Caenorhabditis elegans: one gene and its partner. The protein of the gene in region 2 interacts with the protein of the main gene of each other region in a biochemical or structural test. Each region holds a gene or a part of one and is shown on either strand. Other genes may lie near its edges.

Region 1 (8,743 bases), on a different chromosome or scaffold from region 2:
GAGTTATTTCGAAAAACTATGTCAAAAATGTTAGAGTCTACCGTGTTATATAAAATTGGAACTTTTGAAGTCAGAGAAATTCAGACGAAAGTTTTTAAATTTCCAGTGCCTCACACTTTTCACTTTTTTCCAACTTAAGAAACAAGTTCTTTTGGTGTGGTTTTGAATTTTATTTTTTTCTTGAAAATGTTTAAAAAAGCTATATATCTTTACAAAATACAAAAATTTCTTTGTATGTTTATAGTGGAAAAACTCACTGTTTTCTAATTCCACCGCCACTACTTCCACTGGTTGTACTTCCTTCTCTTCTCTGTTGCTGCAATTGAGCTGGTGGGAATGGTGAAGCCGGCATTGATGCATATCCACTTACCTGTTTATATATTTTTCAAATAATATATTTCTCACTTTGCAATGTTCGTGTGGTGTGAAATATAACAACATTCTTTTGATTCAGAATATTATTTATTATTCTGTCATTCTTGTGGGTGGCAACATTGGACTGATACATTTACATGCTACTGAGAAATGAGGGGGCGAGAAAATAACAATGATATCGAATATAAACAATAATTTTAGGGCAAATGCAATAGAAAACAAGACGTTTTTTTTCTTAGTATAGGGTGCATCTATTTCAGACAAGGATGTGGGGAACTCGTGAAGAAGATCGCAATTCGTGTGAATTTGAGAAGGAAATGCAACAAAAAATCGACGGACAGATTCAAAAATAGAATAATCAAATAAAGGAAAAACATCCAAAATTACAATCACCGGGAACATATGAAATTTTGATTCATGATTGGAGACTTAGAAGTTACAAAATATTAAATTAGAACTTATTGTAATACCGGGTACATGGTGTACTGTGAGAGAAACTATTTTGAATTATGCCATTTTGGCATTGATTACCAGACATAATGAAACATAAACATGAAGAAAAATGATGACATTCTAAATGTGCATTACATACATGCGCGATTCGCCGTCGCTTACCATTGACGGAGCCATCCCTTTAAAAGCTCCAGGAGGGCCAGCCATACCTCCAGGTAAATGTGGGGGTGGGAGCATCACAGAGCTTCCGTTGCCAGCAGACATTCCGTTCATTCCGATGGTCCATTGGTATTTGGGTCCACCATCTTCATTTCGGAATCGGGCATAGTCTGGAAGTAATTTAGAAGATATAACAAGAAGGGTTGAATTTCATGTTTTGAATCAGGCAGGGCAGCCTTGAATGCAACCAACTTTTTTGCATTCCTATGGAGATTACAGGCAGACATTTTTGTGCATCAGTGAAAAATTTGTTTTAAAAATATAATTTGAAAAAAATAATTTTTTAAAACAAATTTTTAACATTTCAGTTCAAAAAAATTGCATTAAAGATTTCAAAAGACCCACTTCCATCTTCATATACAAAAACTTTGACATTTTCCGAATAAATGTATACTTTCCTACCTGAACACTCATCTCCAAGGACATAATAGCACTGCTCAGTGAATGTGACCTTGTTCACCACATGTGCAATATACTTTAATTTCAGTAAATCCGCCGCAAAGTTTCGTGCTGTCTTCCGTTCTCGAAGCCCTTCAACATGATCCAAAAGCCATTCGACCAGATCAGATCCTAAAATTGAGAATTAGAATAGGCTCTACACGTTCATTCAAAACTTACCCAAGAACGACATGGGAATCGGAATTTTGAGCCATGTTCGATTTTTGATATCAAGACCAGAGCCAGGCATAGCCATTATTTCGACAACCTTCTTTTTGTCAGTGTGTATATCAAGAATAATATGAGCTCCGCCGCCGACTACTGTATTTTGACCATTTGATCCGTTTGAGGTCACCGTTGAGCTGCTTGGCGGTCGACCATGAGGCCATTCACCAGGAATTGGTGTCGGTGCACTTTCTGGAAAAAATTTTTTAATTAATAGATATTTGTAGGAGAATAACGTAGAAGAAGAACAAAAAACAACATCGAGGCTGTCTTCCTGCCTGCCTACCTGTTTTCAAAATTTTGGTGCAGAAAAAAGGTTTGACTTAATTTTACATTCAGCCTTCAAAATTAGAGATGTGAAAAATTTCATATTTTTATTTTTGTTTCAAAAAAAAATTGAAAATTCCAAAAAGCTTTCCAAATGTTGTTCTACTTTAAAATATCCTAAAACATCAGAAGTCTGAAAAACATCAACTTGAAAGTAGCGAAGAAATGCACTGAATAAATTTCAGCCTGAAGTTGAATAGGTTGAGAGTGCAGCTTATAATTTTGCAAAAAATAAAAAGATCAATCAAATAACAGGCAGGTATTTTGTTTAGTTTTTCTACACTTCCAATCAAAAAACCATACCTTCAACTATACTTGGCATTCCTCTCATTGCATTCGTATGCTGGATCCATGCTTGAGTATCGATTGGTCTCACAGGCTCTTCTCTGCTATTCCTTGGTATTGTGAAACAACTTTGCCCATTTTCAAAACTTTTCGCCACAGTTAATTTGATGGGGCCACGACGGCTAACAGCTTCTCTGAAAATTCATATGTTGAAGAATAAGCTCTCAGTAAAAAATAATAATTTTTACCGTAACACATCAACAGCTTGATCGTTAGTGAAATTCTCAAAGCTGGTCTCATTGACTTGTAAAATCATATCACCAGCTTCAATTCTTCCATCCAATGCCACTGCACCTCCCTTCATGATATTTGCTACGTAGATTCCATTATCACCACAATTAGAAGTTTGACCAACAATTGAAATGCCAAGGAAATTGACTGTATCCATATTGAGGTTCACTGTTATTACATCAAGGCTCATAGAGGACTCTGGAATTCGAATGGTAAAAGTTATGCTAATTTCGAAGAGGTCATACCTGTGATACTTGAAAACGAAGATGCTCTAGAGGGTTTTCGGAAATTTCTTTTATTCTTCTTTTTCTTTGCCATTTTTTCATGTTGTCGGGATACTGATGTGAAATCGGTTGTTGTAGAGCCTCTGAAAAATTGAACGTTTTATAGTTGAAATTGTTATAGATTTTTCAGAATTTTCAGTCCAACTTTTGAAAATTGAGTCTTATTGAGAAACTTAAAGAAGCTTTGCATATTCGATGCCCCACAAAATAAATACAAATGATTTTAAAATTTAAAAAAAAACTGTAGAAATTTTTTAAAATCGAATTATTAATTTATGATAAGCGAAAACTGGTTAATTTCCATTTTGGACTGTAAATAAAAATTTCATAATTTTTTGAAAATCTTACTGTGGTTTTCAGTGATTTTTGCAACTCGTGAGTAACTTTGAACGTTATCAACTAAAATTTTACATGGTTTTCACTAGCTAAAAAAGGAAAACTAATGAGAATTGTGTTCCGTGAAATTCTAAATATAAGCGGAGCACTGCACAAAACAAAATGTTCAAATTCCTTAAAGTTACAACCTAGAAGTTTGTTCCACAAAATCCGAAAAGAACTGAAAGATTTATCGAAAGCAATTATCCACTTCTCATCCATCTCTTTCCACCCGTTCTCACGTCCTTTTCTTCCCCTCCCCAATTTTTATTAGTTTCCTTCAAATAGTGCACAACACTAAGAGCTTGTTGTGATAGTCACTACCAGGCTTTAGCTAGAAGATAAGCGCCAAGCAGGAATTGCTCAAATTTAACGAGCTGTGTCTTATCGCAGAATAAATGAACTGACACGTCGCGAGTTGTGGCACCCGTGCTGCTCGGCGGAGCTGTTCCAATTGCATAGTAATAATCAGAAGTTGAAGTGGAAGTTGTTGAATAATAGGCTTTACCATCAGAGCTTGCGAAATCATCGTCAGTTATGTAGCCGCTCATTTCACTATTTGAGGAGCGGAAGGGCGAAATCATTGGGGGCAGAGTGAGCGGGGATGAAGGCCCGCTTTAAGCCTAGTCATTTGTCACTTTATGTGACAGACAGAGAAGACACAAAAAAAGGTATTAACTATTTGAGAGGCAAAATGAAAACCATCGAATTTTTGAAAATATTTAAAATTTAAAATTTCAAAGGGGTATTGCCTATTCGTAAACTTGGTTTTGTTTTTATGAGTTGTTATATTTTGAATGTAAATTTTTTTCAATGTTGCATATTCCTTGAGATAGCCCTGCAAGACCTGAATGTAGCCCTATTATAACTTAAACTTTTGCTTTAATTTTTTATAAATAAAAATTTGCCGAATAAAATACACTAAATTTTGAAAGGAACACTGTCACCAGAGTACTGGCTTTACATAAAAATTCAATGAAATGAAACCTATGTTTATAAAATTAAAAAAAAAAACATACCTATCATCATCATCTGAAAATACTCTTGCATCGGATTCGGAGCCAATTGTTGATTCTTCGAGATGTCGTCGGTGCCCTGGAATTTAAGAAAACTTAGAATTCGATGCTTTTTCAAATTTTCATAAGATTTTGTTTTTTGAACCTATTACCCTTTACTTGATCACATCATTTTTCGCCATCATTTACCTACCGATCAAATAAAACGATGCATCTGCACTAAGTTCAGAGGTTAAGGATAGATGTGACGTCCTATGTAGAAATCCAATAAGATGTCTTCTCGGCGAAGCATCCGGTGCAACATCTTTCCTTCCTTGATAAGTACTTGTTGTATTTGATCCGCCGTACCTTCGCATTCTGCGCTTCTGTGCTCGATCCGCTCTCTCCTCTTCCACCATTGCCGCTGTACTTGCTGTTTCTTCCTCATAAAGTGGCGGAAGCGATGGACTAGTTGGAATCAGTGACATTGTACGGCTCATTGTGCTTCTTCGTGAAACAAGAGGTCGGCAATCAGATGATAGACCACTTCCATCTACAGTGACCGGCCGACACCTATCGATTCGGTTCAAACTTCGACTTTCAGATATAGTAATACTAGGAATAATAGGTGGACGATCGGTGGTTATTTGACACGTTTTGGATTTTCTGAGCTCCCTAGATGGCGGAGCAAGTGAAACAGGGGAATCAGGAGCCGCAAGGGAAAAAGTTGGTCTGGCTAATGCTGCAGCTGGTGCAATGAGATCCGGTGGTGGTGGCTGAGGTGGGCTCAGATTCTCTTTGAATTCTTTAGTATTAGATCGAGAACTTGATGGTGATGGAGATGCAGACCGAGATTTTGAACCACCAAGTGAAGTTAAAGACGTTAAACTTGCAGCCGAGTGGGACAATCTGATAAGAGCTCCAAAAAACGATGAAGAGGCGGAACCACCACCGGACTCTTTTCCGTTGGCGCCTCCTGCACTTTTTTCGCTTTGTTTCCGTCGTTGTAAAAATCTGCGCTTCGTTGTCGTCTTAGTATTATCCCCCTCTTCGTCGTTACAATCATCTGATGCTTTGCTGGTGCCGGGAAACAGGAGAGCCCCCTCGCTGAGCCGTTTTTTAAGTGGACCACCGAGCGCATTTGAGACCATCTGTCGCCATGTGGATCCGGCAGGTGTATGATTATTTGTGAGATCAGTTAAAGTCCGTTTTAATCGAAATGGTGCCTCAGACTCCGGCTCCACACGACTTTTACTTCTGCTCTTCTTCAACTTTTTCCCCGTACTTGGTTGCTGCTGGCTTCCTGAATTTTCCTTATCATCAGAAGCTTTGGAGGAAGGGAGAATGTTGTTCAGAATTTTCAAATTTCCTAATGGATTTCCTGTATATTTCTTCCTTCTTGGACTTTTTACAACTTCCGAGACGATAGTTTTCTCATCATCAACCAAATCAAGATCATCAATCTTAGCAAGTGGTGGAGCCTTTTTCTTCTTTTTTGGTCTTGACGATGTATTTGTAGGTGACGTTTTCAACTCAATCTTGTTAATCAATTGTGATACAACTCCCGGCGAGTGTTGTCGATTTGGTGGAGGAGCCGTGTATGTCGAACGGACTTTTCGTTCTTTTGAAGTGAATAATAATGAGCGAATCATATCAGATGAAGTGGATGGGGTATTTGAGGAGCCAGAAGGAGATGGAAGGGCTCTATCTCGAGCTCCAAGCTTGATACTCATTGCTCGCTAGTGAGCTATGAGCAATCGTGTCGTTCTCTAGAAAATCGGTTTTAAGTTTTTGATAGTAATAGAGCTGGGAAGTAATAAAAAAGCTTGAAGGTAATAAAAAGAAGAGAAAGAAACGAGAAACACACCTCGATGGGGGGTCATAAATTTCCCAGCATCCCATCTTGTGGCTCATGATGCACTTGGATTAGAAACAGATACTTTCGTTTTACTTTTATCATGTGCTGGGAATTTAGAGAGAAACTGAGAATTTAATAGTCGACACATCGGGAAAGTTGGTACTCAAAATAATCCTGTTGACACCATAAACACTGTCGTTAAACTTTAATCGGACTTGACATATGTCATGTTAAATCTCAATTGACTCGACTATGATAGTGACATCTAAAATTGATAAATTCCTATATAATGAGAAATGCAAAGATTGAGATATTATAATTTTAATATAATATAATTGGTCTATGAGTTTGTTAAGATTCAAGCCATAACAGTAGAAAAATTTAAAAAAAACTCAAGTTTTTATACGCTTAAATCTCGATGTTATTTTGAAAGACAAATGTTTGCTTTCATTTAACTTTTATTTAATTAATCGTTAACATTCACTGATACATCTAATAAAATTAAAATTATAGTTCAATACGTTTCGGTCGAAACTATGTGGCTATCAATTAATAAGATTTTCCCCGTTTCGCAAAAGAGCTTCAGAATAAGTGTTACCATTTCTCAACTAACAAATTTCTTCAACTGGTGGGCTGGAAAATGGCACATGACAACTAAAACCAAGAGCTCACTATCAGTTATTTATATCAACAAATTGCAACTTGACTTATGGCTCACAGTCAAACACCGCAGAGATCCAGAGGAAAACACAATTTGCTATGGTCAGATTAAATGGCAGTTGCTTAAAGAATATTGATCGAAAATTTTTCATCATGACTAGTTGAACAAAGAGTTGCAAATTGATCTCACTGAAACATGTTGCAATGGCTCTTGATGATGACGAAGTATAAAATCAAATGTTTGAATCCACCTACACACATGGGCTAGCAAACATTGATCGGAGGCAGGAAAAGCGGATAAAGCATAGAAAAGATCATTATCAAACTGTCTTTTCTCCCCAAAATCCCGATAGGTATCATGATAGAAATCACAAGTGAGGGATATCCGAAAGTAAATAAAACCACAGATCTCACTATTATAAGGCAGATATCTATTTTCGTGTTAACGAGAATGAGAGCAATATTATGAGATCCTGGGGTGGGTACTAGAGACTATTTCGACACAAAAACGATAATAGTGACAAGTAGAAACATACACAGAAATCGACAAGTGAGCGGACAAAAAAAACTAACTAAAAGTGGGGTGAAGTGGTATGAGGTCTCGAGAAGAGTGTTCAAGTGGAGAGAGAGACAGAAGGAAAGCATCTTGATAAACACTGTGATAAACTCATCGGTCTTCGGGTTTTCATTCCCACTGACGTCGAGCACAGAGATATAGAGAACGGTTTCTCACAAAAAGTGGTGGAGCAAGCAAGGAGCCCGGTTGACCCCCTAACAGAGAAGTTCAAGGACTAATGTTACAAAAGATCGAGAATTGGATGTCAAAGAACATATTTTTCCAATTAACAATGCTTACAAATTCTACCGTACACTACAGTTCTTAAGGTCGCAAAGAGATATTTTTGGTATCTGGTTAATAATTTTTTATTCTCTAATGTCGAAGCTAAACTAAACTAGCTGTGACTTGTTCGCAATTTACCATTTTCAGATGTCATTGTCAGATATTTCAGAACAAAAATTTTTGAAATAAAACAGCTGGGTAGCCTTTCAATGCAACTAGATATCCTGAAAATAATAATCTATTTGTTTCAAAAGTAACAAAATACTTTTTTTTTAATTTTCAACAAAAGAGAGTTTGGATGAATTTCTAATTTGGAGGAAAATTAAAACAGATTATAAAATACGAATTTTATAGAATTTGAGAATATGCTCCTCAGATTAAATTTTCAGAAAAACACAATGAACTAAAATACTTTGAAAAGAAGTTGTACACAAAAGGGAGAATTTCAATTGATTTATACACCCAGCTACCAGGTAATAACCACAATTATGTGATTTTAATTCCACGTAATCACACTGGGGAAATCATCGATATGTATGTGTGTGTGTGTGATTAAATTGAAATGAAATGAAATGTATGTATAAACATTGAATGAAAGCAAAGAAGGAGGAGATCTCCACTCATTGAAATGTGTGTTGGTTGGTTGACTGGCAGCCAGCCAACAAGATGAGCCCAGAAGATAGAATTGAAACAATTGGTCCTTTCTCTGTGCTCTCTCATTTCTTTATGATCTATGAGAAGTGATCTGGGAGATCGGCTCATTAACACCAACATAAAACATGAAAATCAACGGAAGGACATGATGGGGTGAAAGTGTTGAAATGATGTGATCAAGATTTTATGAGGGGAAGTTTTATTGGGTTCACTGACACAATGTAAAAGTTTGCGAGAACTTTCTTAAGAACTTTTTGAGACGAGGTTTTTCTTCCAATTTTTTCTGAAACACTTGGGACCAAGTTCATCGTGTTTCCCGTTTCTCAATTACCCCAAAAGCTAATGTTTGTTTTTTTACCATACAAAGCCTTGAGCCATCTAAGCATTCACAAAAATGCTCACTAGCCTTGACAACTGGCTATACGTGTAATTAGGCACTTTTGTGATTGCATGAGAGGCCCAC
Region 2 (8,121 bases):
AACATAAATTAGTTTTCGATAAATCATTCATTTAGTTAGAGTTGGTATATATAAAATCATAAACTATATAAAAAAGGAAAAGTGTGTAGTAGTCATTGTTGATTTCATACACACATCATTTCTACATGTCACTTTGCTCTTTTTTTGCTCAATTCACATTTGTTTTCCAAAAACATATACATACTCAAATTCTTTTTCCTTTTTTCTTCTCACTTTTCTATTGGTTCTCTTTGTCTTTCACTAGTCAACTGCTCTCATTTCCTCTCTTTATGGCTTCTCCCTTTTTTGACAGAATGATGTTGGTAAGGAAAAAGGGTTCTCGGTGAACAATCTACTTTTTCCCCCAAAAAATAGGGAACAAAAATTACTTGCAAAGAACTACTCTGCTCTTGTTCATGAGTTCTTGGAAAAAATGGGAATTGACCAGGAGAGAATGGAACAAAAAGCGCAAAGGTTTGAAGAATTTCAGAAGATTACTTGCAAAAGGAAAACCAGAATCAGTTCTTATAAGTTGAGAAGAGACAATGGGATAACAGCTCAATAAATAATTATTTTAAGTATTTTTAGATACAAAAATGTTTACATTGAAGTTAAATACTTTATTACTCTCGAAATTTATCAATCGATCCTTGAACTTTTTTTGTTCCGCAGAGGTTGGCGGAGTTTACAAGCGTACGGAGTGGTTCAACTTTTATTTAAAGTTCTATAAATGGGGCATAGATGGATATTTCAAAAAAAAAAGCAAAAACCTCACAGCCCCGTCCTTCTCCGCCGAAAAACGCCGTTTAAGGATCGATGGCTAAGTTTTGGCAGTAAAAAACAACATAGTCATGATGAGGCGTGGAAAACACTTAACTACCGCATGTTTCCAAAATCCTCGTTACCCCCTTACGATTTGTTCAGAAAAAAAACAATTCTTACCCACTTAGGATTTTTTTGAATAAAAAGGTTCTGTATTATTTAATCAACAACAATTAATTGTACCTAAAAATTATAACGTTGATAATAGACTCTTGTATTATCGAAAAATACGATCGTACTAATTTCTCATAATTTATTTTTGATCTACCTGTTGAACTGGACTCGGCTCCCAATCTTGTTGCCGTTTTTATTTTGTTGTGGCTGTCTTATCGAAGGAAGGGGCGGAGTCAAGTTCAACAGGTAGATCAAAAATAAATTATGAGAAAATTGTGCGATCGTATTTTTTCGATAGTATGATAAGATCTTATAAACTCAATCAATATCTTCCACAAAACAATACTTGTCACATTCTGACATCAATTATTCAATGCCACCCAGCTTCGTTTCATCTTCCGCCACCTTAGAGACGTCACCTGCTTGGATGTACCAAGTCTGCGTTTCTTATATTTTCATCCACCCGATTGTTCCCAAGCAACACACATCCTTCAGTGTTCGGTAGGCGTTTATTGGCCTGTCTTGTTCCAAAAAAAGGAGAATCGCAAAAACTGAAGTTTCATTTTTTGCTATATTATTTATTCAGAAATGTTGTCCCTATAATTTATGTTTTGTTATTTAACAGTAGTCACTCTTATCTCTGCCTTCAAAACTTCCCTCTCTAAATATCCAGCGCACTTTTCCAGCGTATCATCAATTTCTTGATAATGTTTGAGATCCTGAAAATTTAAAATTTAACTTCTGGCGCATATAAGAAAACTTGAATTCTGTAAGAACGCGTTCAAGAACCCACTAAAATGTTACTTCTGTGTTGATTTTGGAAATAGTTCGGTATTGTGGAAAAAACTTAGATTAAGAAGTTTAATCTGATTATTTATCAAACAATATAATATTTTAGTCAAAAGATGCCAGCCGTATATGTGTCTACTGACAAAATATGACTTTAAAAAACCCCTTTAATCTTAGCGATACAGAAGTGGTTTTAATCAATTTTCCGCTGGTGCTAACATAAAACATGCATAACACTTTTTATGTATTTGTAATTGTGCGTCACGCATGTACATAGATCATTTAAATCAATTCAACTCCATTTTGCTTGTCACCTATTCCCTCACTCAATTTCGTTTTTTAACCAGAAATCCCAAACGAACATTCATAAAATCCCGATTCTCTCTCAACGGTGCCCTTTTTGTTCACATTTGATACCAATTTGAATAATCTCTTTCCTTCTTTTGGATCCTGTTCACCTCAATTCGAATTACCTTCCTCTGATGCCATTATCGATTTGTTCTCGTGTTTTGATGTGATACTGAACAGACCCCTTTGCTCACTTGCGTCGGACGATGCTTATTTTGTTGAGAAAAATTGAATTCCCAACAATAAAAATCGATTCTTTGTTTGACTGTCAAAAACGTCCAGCCTGGTTAACACGTAAGAGATGCACCTTTCCTATTTGCATTCCCCTCCCCCTTTTTATTTTTTTTCAAAATTTGTGAACCATCTTCGAGAACATTCTGTGATCATATTTAACGTTTTGAAACGTTGCGTTTTCTTTTTTGTCCTCAGTAAAACGTGGCAACCTCAAGTCTACTATCAAACATGTTTTCCACAGAAAAAGAATATACTGAACAATGAAACATATTTTTACTTTTTAAGAAGTGTTTTTGAAACTTGATGCTTCTGTTCCATCTATAGCGGAAATTCTAAAGTTGCTACTGCGATTTGGAGTGCCTCCGTCGGAGCATGTCGGAGCACGTATCTTTGTGCCCGCGAAGGTTTTCAGGATGACATGACCTTTGATGTCACAAAAAACTTTTTTCTGCGTACCTCTAGGAGAGTTGGGACCCTTTTAATAATTTCAGTTTTTATAGTGTCCAATATTGTCACGTGGCATCATAGGTCGTACTTTCTCAACTGATTAGAAATACTCATCAATGATATCATTATCAGTTCACTGAATTGAAAAGTAGCCGCATCACTTTTTGTTCCAAAAAAATTCTGTAAGTTGTTTTTGACTTGTTGCACTCTATTTCTATTAGGCGTCAAGTTAGAGGTAGGAATCCGTCCAACCTCTGCCTGCTGCGTACGTGCCTATACCTACGAACCTACCTATCCGGCGTCCGATTTGGAAAATGGGAAATTCGGGATTGTTTTTTCATATTGCCGGCATTCTCAGAGTTCGGTGAATTATTATGAAATTAAAAAAAAAAACAAAATAAATATAATTAGTGATCAAGTTCGTAGAATGTCGATCCACGTAAAAAACCTACCCATCGATACATTTTCTAATGTAACAAAAACAGCCGCGGGAAGTCTGGCGCCTATTTATATTTACGTACCCGCCTGCTTGCCTACATGTGTACCTTCATGATTGTCGACCTGCTCTCATACCTACCTGCAAGCCTACATACCTATGCATACATAAATCTTTTTCTCAAGAAATGTTCAAAAACATTCTGTGATGACCCGTCCTTATGCTATAAACTGTAAAAATTTCCGTGCTGTGTCATCCTCCTTATTCTTGCCAAGTACACTATTTTGTGTTCAACTGACCCTTGGACATCCCACAAGGGCAATTCTGTATTGGTAAGGAGGAGGAGCACACTGCCTCCCATCTCCAGTTACTCGTAAAACCGATATTTGTATGAAGAGACGATGAATAGAGCGTCTTACGTACACAACCTTGTCATTGCTCTACTTTTTTCATCATTTTTGTTTATCCATTCAATCTGTAAATGTTTTGCATAATTTTCTGATTTAAAAACATCTCCGATTATTCTTCTACATTCTCCATCTTTATTTGTTTCAGAAATGGCTCCAAGAACATATGCATCAGTACTTACCACACCCAGAGGTCCAGCCCCCCTTGCACTATATTGTCCTGAAGCTCCAGAATGCCCAAAACTTGAAGCCATTTCAAATTTGAGCTTTCAACAGATCACGCAGCAGGCTGGAACTTCCAATGATCAGGGATTCGAATTTGAAAATACATACGTTGAGCACAGAGTAAGTTTGAAACTCAGTAGTTTAAGAAAACAGTTACTCAACATTTGGGCGAAACTTTCTACCAAACTTTAGCAACTTTCAAATTTTATTCGTTTACAACCTCGTGCCAAAATTGCAAAACTCTTGCCAAACTGGCAATTTTGTTTAAAAGCGTATCTACCAACTTCCTTTTAGCCAACTTGGCAACTCGTCTGAGCACAGCTTTTGATAAATTGTCATGCTAGAAGTTTGCCCCCAAATGTATGATTCTTGATAAATTGAATTTTATAGTTAAAACAATTACATTTTCAGATAAATCAAGAAATCGAATCCTTCGTCGACACACATCATCAAGAACCTCTTCGAAAGGCAGCAGCTCAATTCAGAGCGGTCATGAAACAAGAATATCCAGGTACAGAGTACATTTTATAAAAGCTTAATACCAAAAGTCATTTTGAGATTCGACATGCTTCATCACTGGATCATATCCTGCCGGAGTTGACATCTTCTCCTCTGATATTGATTTTACCGTCAAGGTTCCAACTTTGGAAGGTGCAAATCCATTTTTGAAATTGATGCAGTTGAGAAAAGAACTCAGCTGTTACTACACAATCTTCTCGAAGGCTTATGTGCAAAAAGGAAACGTACGTTTTTTTCTGAAATATTTGAAAATACAAAACTGCCTGCCGACTTTTTAAAATGAGCTCTTAACAAGTTAATAGAAACAAAACATAATAATAAATGTAAACTACAAAGGCATGCAGATATGTCTGCTTAACATTTCTCCCGCACAAAAGTGTAGATACATCGATATTGGGGATTTTTTTAAGGGCAAAATTGAGAAAAATTTTCAAACTAGAAGATTTCCAATTAAAACCAACCCAGTTCTAACCGGTTTTCAGCCGTACTAATTTCAGCGGAAAATATTATCCCGATAAACTTGTATTATAAATAATTTAAAAAAGCGAGTTTCAAAATTTAAATTTATTTTTTAAAAACTGGACCAATTTTCAGATTCCGGTTCTTCAACTGATGCATGCGGAAACAAAAGTATCAATTGATGTTACAATCGACAATGATACCTCAAAACGGAACACTCAGCTTTTGGCATTTTATAGTCAATGTAAGTTAACTCTCTTAAAACTTTATGCAAGATGTTTCTTGAAATATATAAGTTTTTTCACCTCGTGGCTTAACTTTAATAGCTCACAAATCTGTTCTAATTGGTTTTATCAAAAGGAAAAAAAATCAGTTTTTTAATAGTTGATTATTTTCAGTAGACACAAGGTTTCCACTATTGTGCAAAGCGATGAAAGCATGGGCGGCAAGTTGTGGAGTCGAAGGAGCCAGCAGAGGACGGCTCAACAGTTTTTCCCTCTGTTTGATGCTCATCCATTATCTTCAGAGTATGCACAATTTACTACAAAACATACAAACTTTAAATTATGGTTTTTCCAGCGGTTCAAGTTCTTCTAAACATTCAAGAAATATTTCCCGAGTTGAATGGTGATATAGTCGTGGAGGATGACAACTATATGAAAAGAGACTTGAAAATTGAAATTCTGGAAAAAGGAGCATTCGATTTCAATCAGAACACAAGCAGTCTAGCTGTGCTTTTCATTGGATTCATGAAGTATTACTCAGAGTTCAAGTGAGTTTTGTTTATTCTTATATTTCTTTGATTTTTGTAATCATCATTTACTATATATACAGTAGAGTTTCCTTCCGTCCAATGTAGGCAGGTTTTCATTTTCAAAAAAATCAAATTAATTTCAAAATTTCAATGTTATTTTCAAGGGGTATTTGAAATTTATTCCAACCAGTTGGATGCGCCGGAGGCGCGGTCAGCATCTGGTCTAATATAATTACTTACCTGTTTAAGATAACTGAAAATCATAACAAACAACTCCCAAAAATTGTTTAGATTTTACAAATTTTCAATCAATTATTTTGCAAATTGCCACTTTTTTCTGACAAACTAGAGCATTTTTGCAACCCCTGAAATGTTTAACTGAAAAATAAAAATACATAACTAGTTACATGTAAAAAATATTACAATATAAAACTAGTACAAAATTTTTCGATTGATTATGTTAGATGAGTAAGCACCACTTCTTCACTGTAAAATTAGTTACATATAATTCATTTTAAAAAAAATCAGAAAATTATCGTTTTTTTTTCGCCATACTGAAAGAGAATATGAGAATGTTATGTAATAACTCATGTTTTACATTTCAGTTTCAAATGGAATTGGATCTCGATTAAACATGGAAACGTGTTGAAAAAGAAATGGTCAAAGACAAGAGTTCCAAAAAATGGAATGCCAAAGGATTGCCGTTTTATTGTCGTCGCGGATCCATTGTTGGAAATTCCGAGAAACTGTGCTGGAACCGTCCGTCAGCAGAACTACATGGAAAGAATTCAACTCGAGTTTAGAGAGGAGTACGAGCGAATTCTGAAGAGAAAGACAATTTTCAATCTTTACCAATGCAATTGGAGTAGAAAATTGAGAAAAGAGGGAATGGAACGAGATCTTCAAATTATGATTCTTCAAGATGAGCTTCGCAAATTAAGAATTGCTAATTTGCCGACTGAAGAAGAAGTTCCATGGGGTACAGTCGTTGATTTCACAAGTCCTCGAACCTTTTCACCTACAAATCAACACCCAAAGGTCTTCTGGTGTTCAGAACAAACGACTGAAAATCAAAGAAGAGATAATTTATGGCCTGAGCTACTTCGTACAAATCCATATGCGATATTTGAAAATTTGATTTGACTTTATTAATAATTGAGTTGTTATATAGGGTTTTGCAAGTAGAAATAGTTATAATCAAACATTTTTAGGTCGGTAAGTGACAATCGATCACTTTTAATTCAACTTGTAGAACTCTATGTGAATTTAATAAAATATATTAATAATATCCGTTTCGTTTCACATCAAAACTGTCTTTGAAAAACGCGAAAACAATTTTCCTGGCAAACTGAACTATAATAATATGTAAAGCTAGTAATAGTTTAAATTGTTAAAGAAAAAACTGTTTTTATTACGAAATTAACACAACATAGTCTTTATTTTTTTAGGCGTGCGTACCTAATAATTTTTCACTACATGCATACCGGGGCTCCGACTAAAAAATAATTATGAACCAAAAAACAAAACCGAAATAATCAAAAAAGTTCGTTTATGGATTTATTTAAAAAGCTAAGTTTTTTTTAGCTCAAATGTAAGTTCTACGGAATGAGAAACTTTCAAAAACTTTTAAATTTTAAAAATTAAAAAAAAGCGAATTTTTGGTGAACGGCCAGAGTCACTAATTTTGGTACACTTTTTACACTTTTTTTACACTTTAAAATACACTTTTTAAAAACTTTTTAACTTTTAAAAAAATACATACGCAACTACATTTTAGGAAAAAAACTTATAAAACTTATAAAAACCGAAATTTTGCTTTAAAAAAATTGACAAAATACCAAAGTCGTTTAAGGTAAATACGAAAAGTTACGTATCGACAGAGTACCGAAATTCGGGAAATATTTTTATTTGAATCCAACTTTGCCCCTGAATCCGAATATCTATTTGAAAAAATTCTAAAAATTTCCCTGATTTTACATTTGAGCTTGAAATCGCGAATTTCATTTGCGTTAATTTGCGTTAATTTGGATTTTGAGTAAGTTCTAAAAAAAATCCCTTAAATCCAACAGAAGATTACTACTCAACTGTTGATTTTTGAGGGGTTTTCTCCAAAAAACATTATGAGAAAAAGCTTGTATTTCTGTGGAAGAGTTGTATTTTTATTGGAAAGCACATCAAAAAGAGTGACATTAAGAAGTTAAATATAACCAGTTCATCAAGAAAAATCACAAGATTTAAAATTCAAATTGAAATCTCTAAAAAAAATAATTAAATACCCATCGGAATCTACAGGAACATAAATTAAGAATCACTAAAATCAGTAAAGACCCGTTTTTTGAAAGAGTTGCCAGCCATTCAGTCAGATATTTGAATCTTAAATGATTTCATAATTTCTGCAAATCGAACACTTCATCCTCATCTTCATCATCCGATTTATACAATGGAATTCTTTCGAATCCTCCTTTCGATCCCATTCCTGGAAATAAATGGAATAAAATCAGCTAAAAATAATTTCAGCATACCATTAAAGAAACCTCGCCGATTCAGGACGGACGTTACTCTTTGACGACACATAAATGTGCAGCAGA

What was found.
Region 1: the proteins of pup-3 (region 2) and dsh-1 form a complex in vitro, tested with the Caenorhabditis elegans proteins (one study listed by BioGRID).

Annotation. Positions count from the first base shown.
Region 1 is NC_003280.10:5,214,675-5,223,417, forward strand, and holds the start of dsh-1 (DiSHevelled related), read right to left. Parts: upstream 6,001-8,743; coding exon 4,482-6,000; intron 4,368-4,481; coding exon 4,292-4,367; intron 3,994-4,291; exon of another isoform or gene 3,790-3,993; intron 2,981-3,789; coding exon 2,859-2,980; intron 2,812-2,858; coding exon 2,571-2,811; intron 2,517-2,570; coding exon 2,341-2,516; intron 1,903-2,340; coding exon 1,666-1,902; intron 1,618-1,665; coding exon 1,450-1,617; intron 1,158-1,449; coding exon 991-1,157; coding exon of another isoform or gene 949-990; exon of another isoform or gene 446-948; intron 371-445; coding exon 258-370; intron 1-257.
Region 2 is NC_003279.8:5,529,316-5,537,436, reverse strand, and holds pup-3 (PAP-associated domain-containing protein), read left to right. Parts: upstream 1-2,787; 5' UTR 2,788-2,915; intron 2,916-3,724; 5' UTR 3,725-3,726; coding exon 3,727-3,921; intron 3,922-4,212; coding exon 4,213-4,312; intron 4,313-4,359; coding exon 4,360-4,544; intron 4,545-4,914; coding exon 4,915-5,023; intron 5,024-5,177; coding exon 5,178-5,306; intron 5,307-5,358; coding exon 5,359-5,551; intron 5,552-6,138; coding exon 6,139-6,676; 3' UTR 6,677-6,821; downstream 6,822-8,121. Other genes in the region: cpd-1 (Peptidase M14 domain-containing protein), read right to left, coding at 7,918-8,009, 8,056-8,121.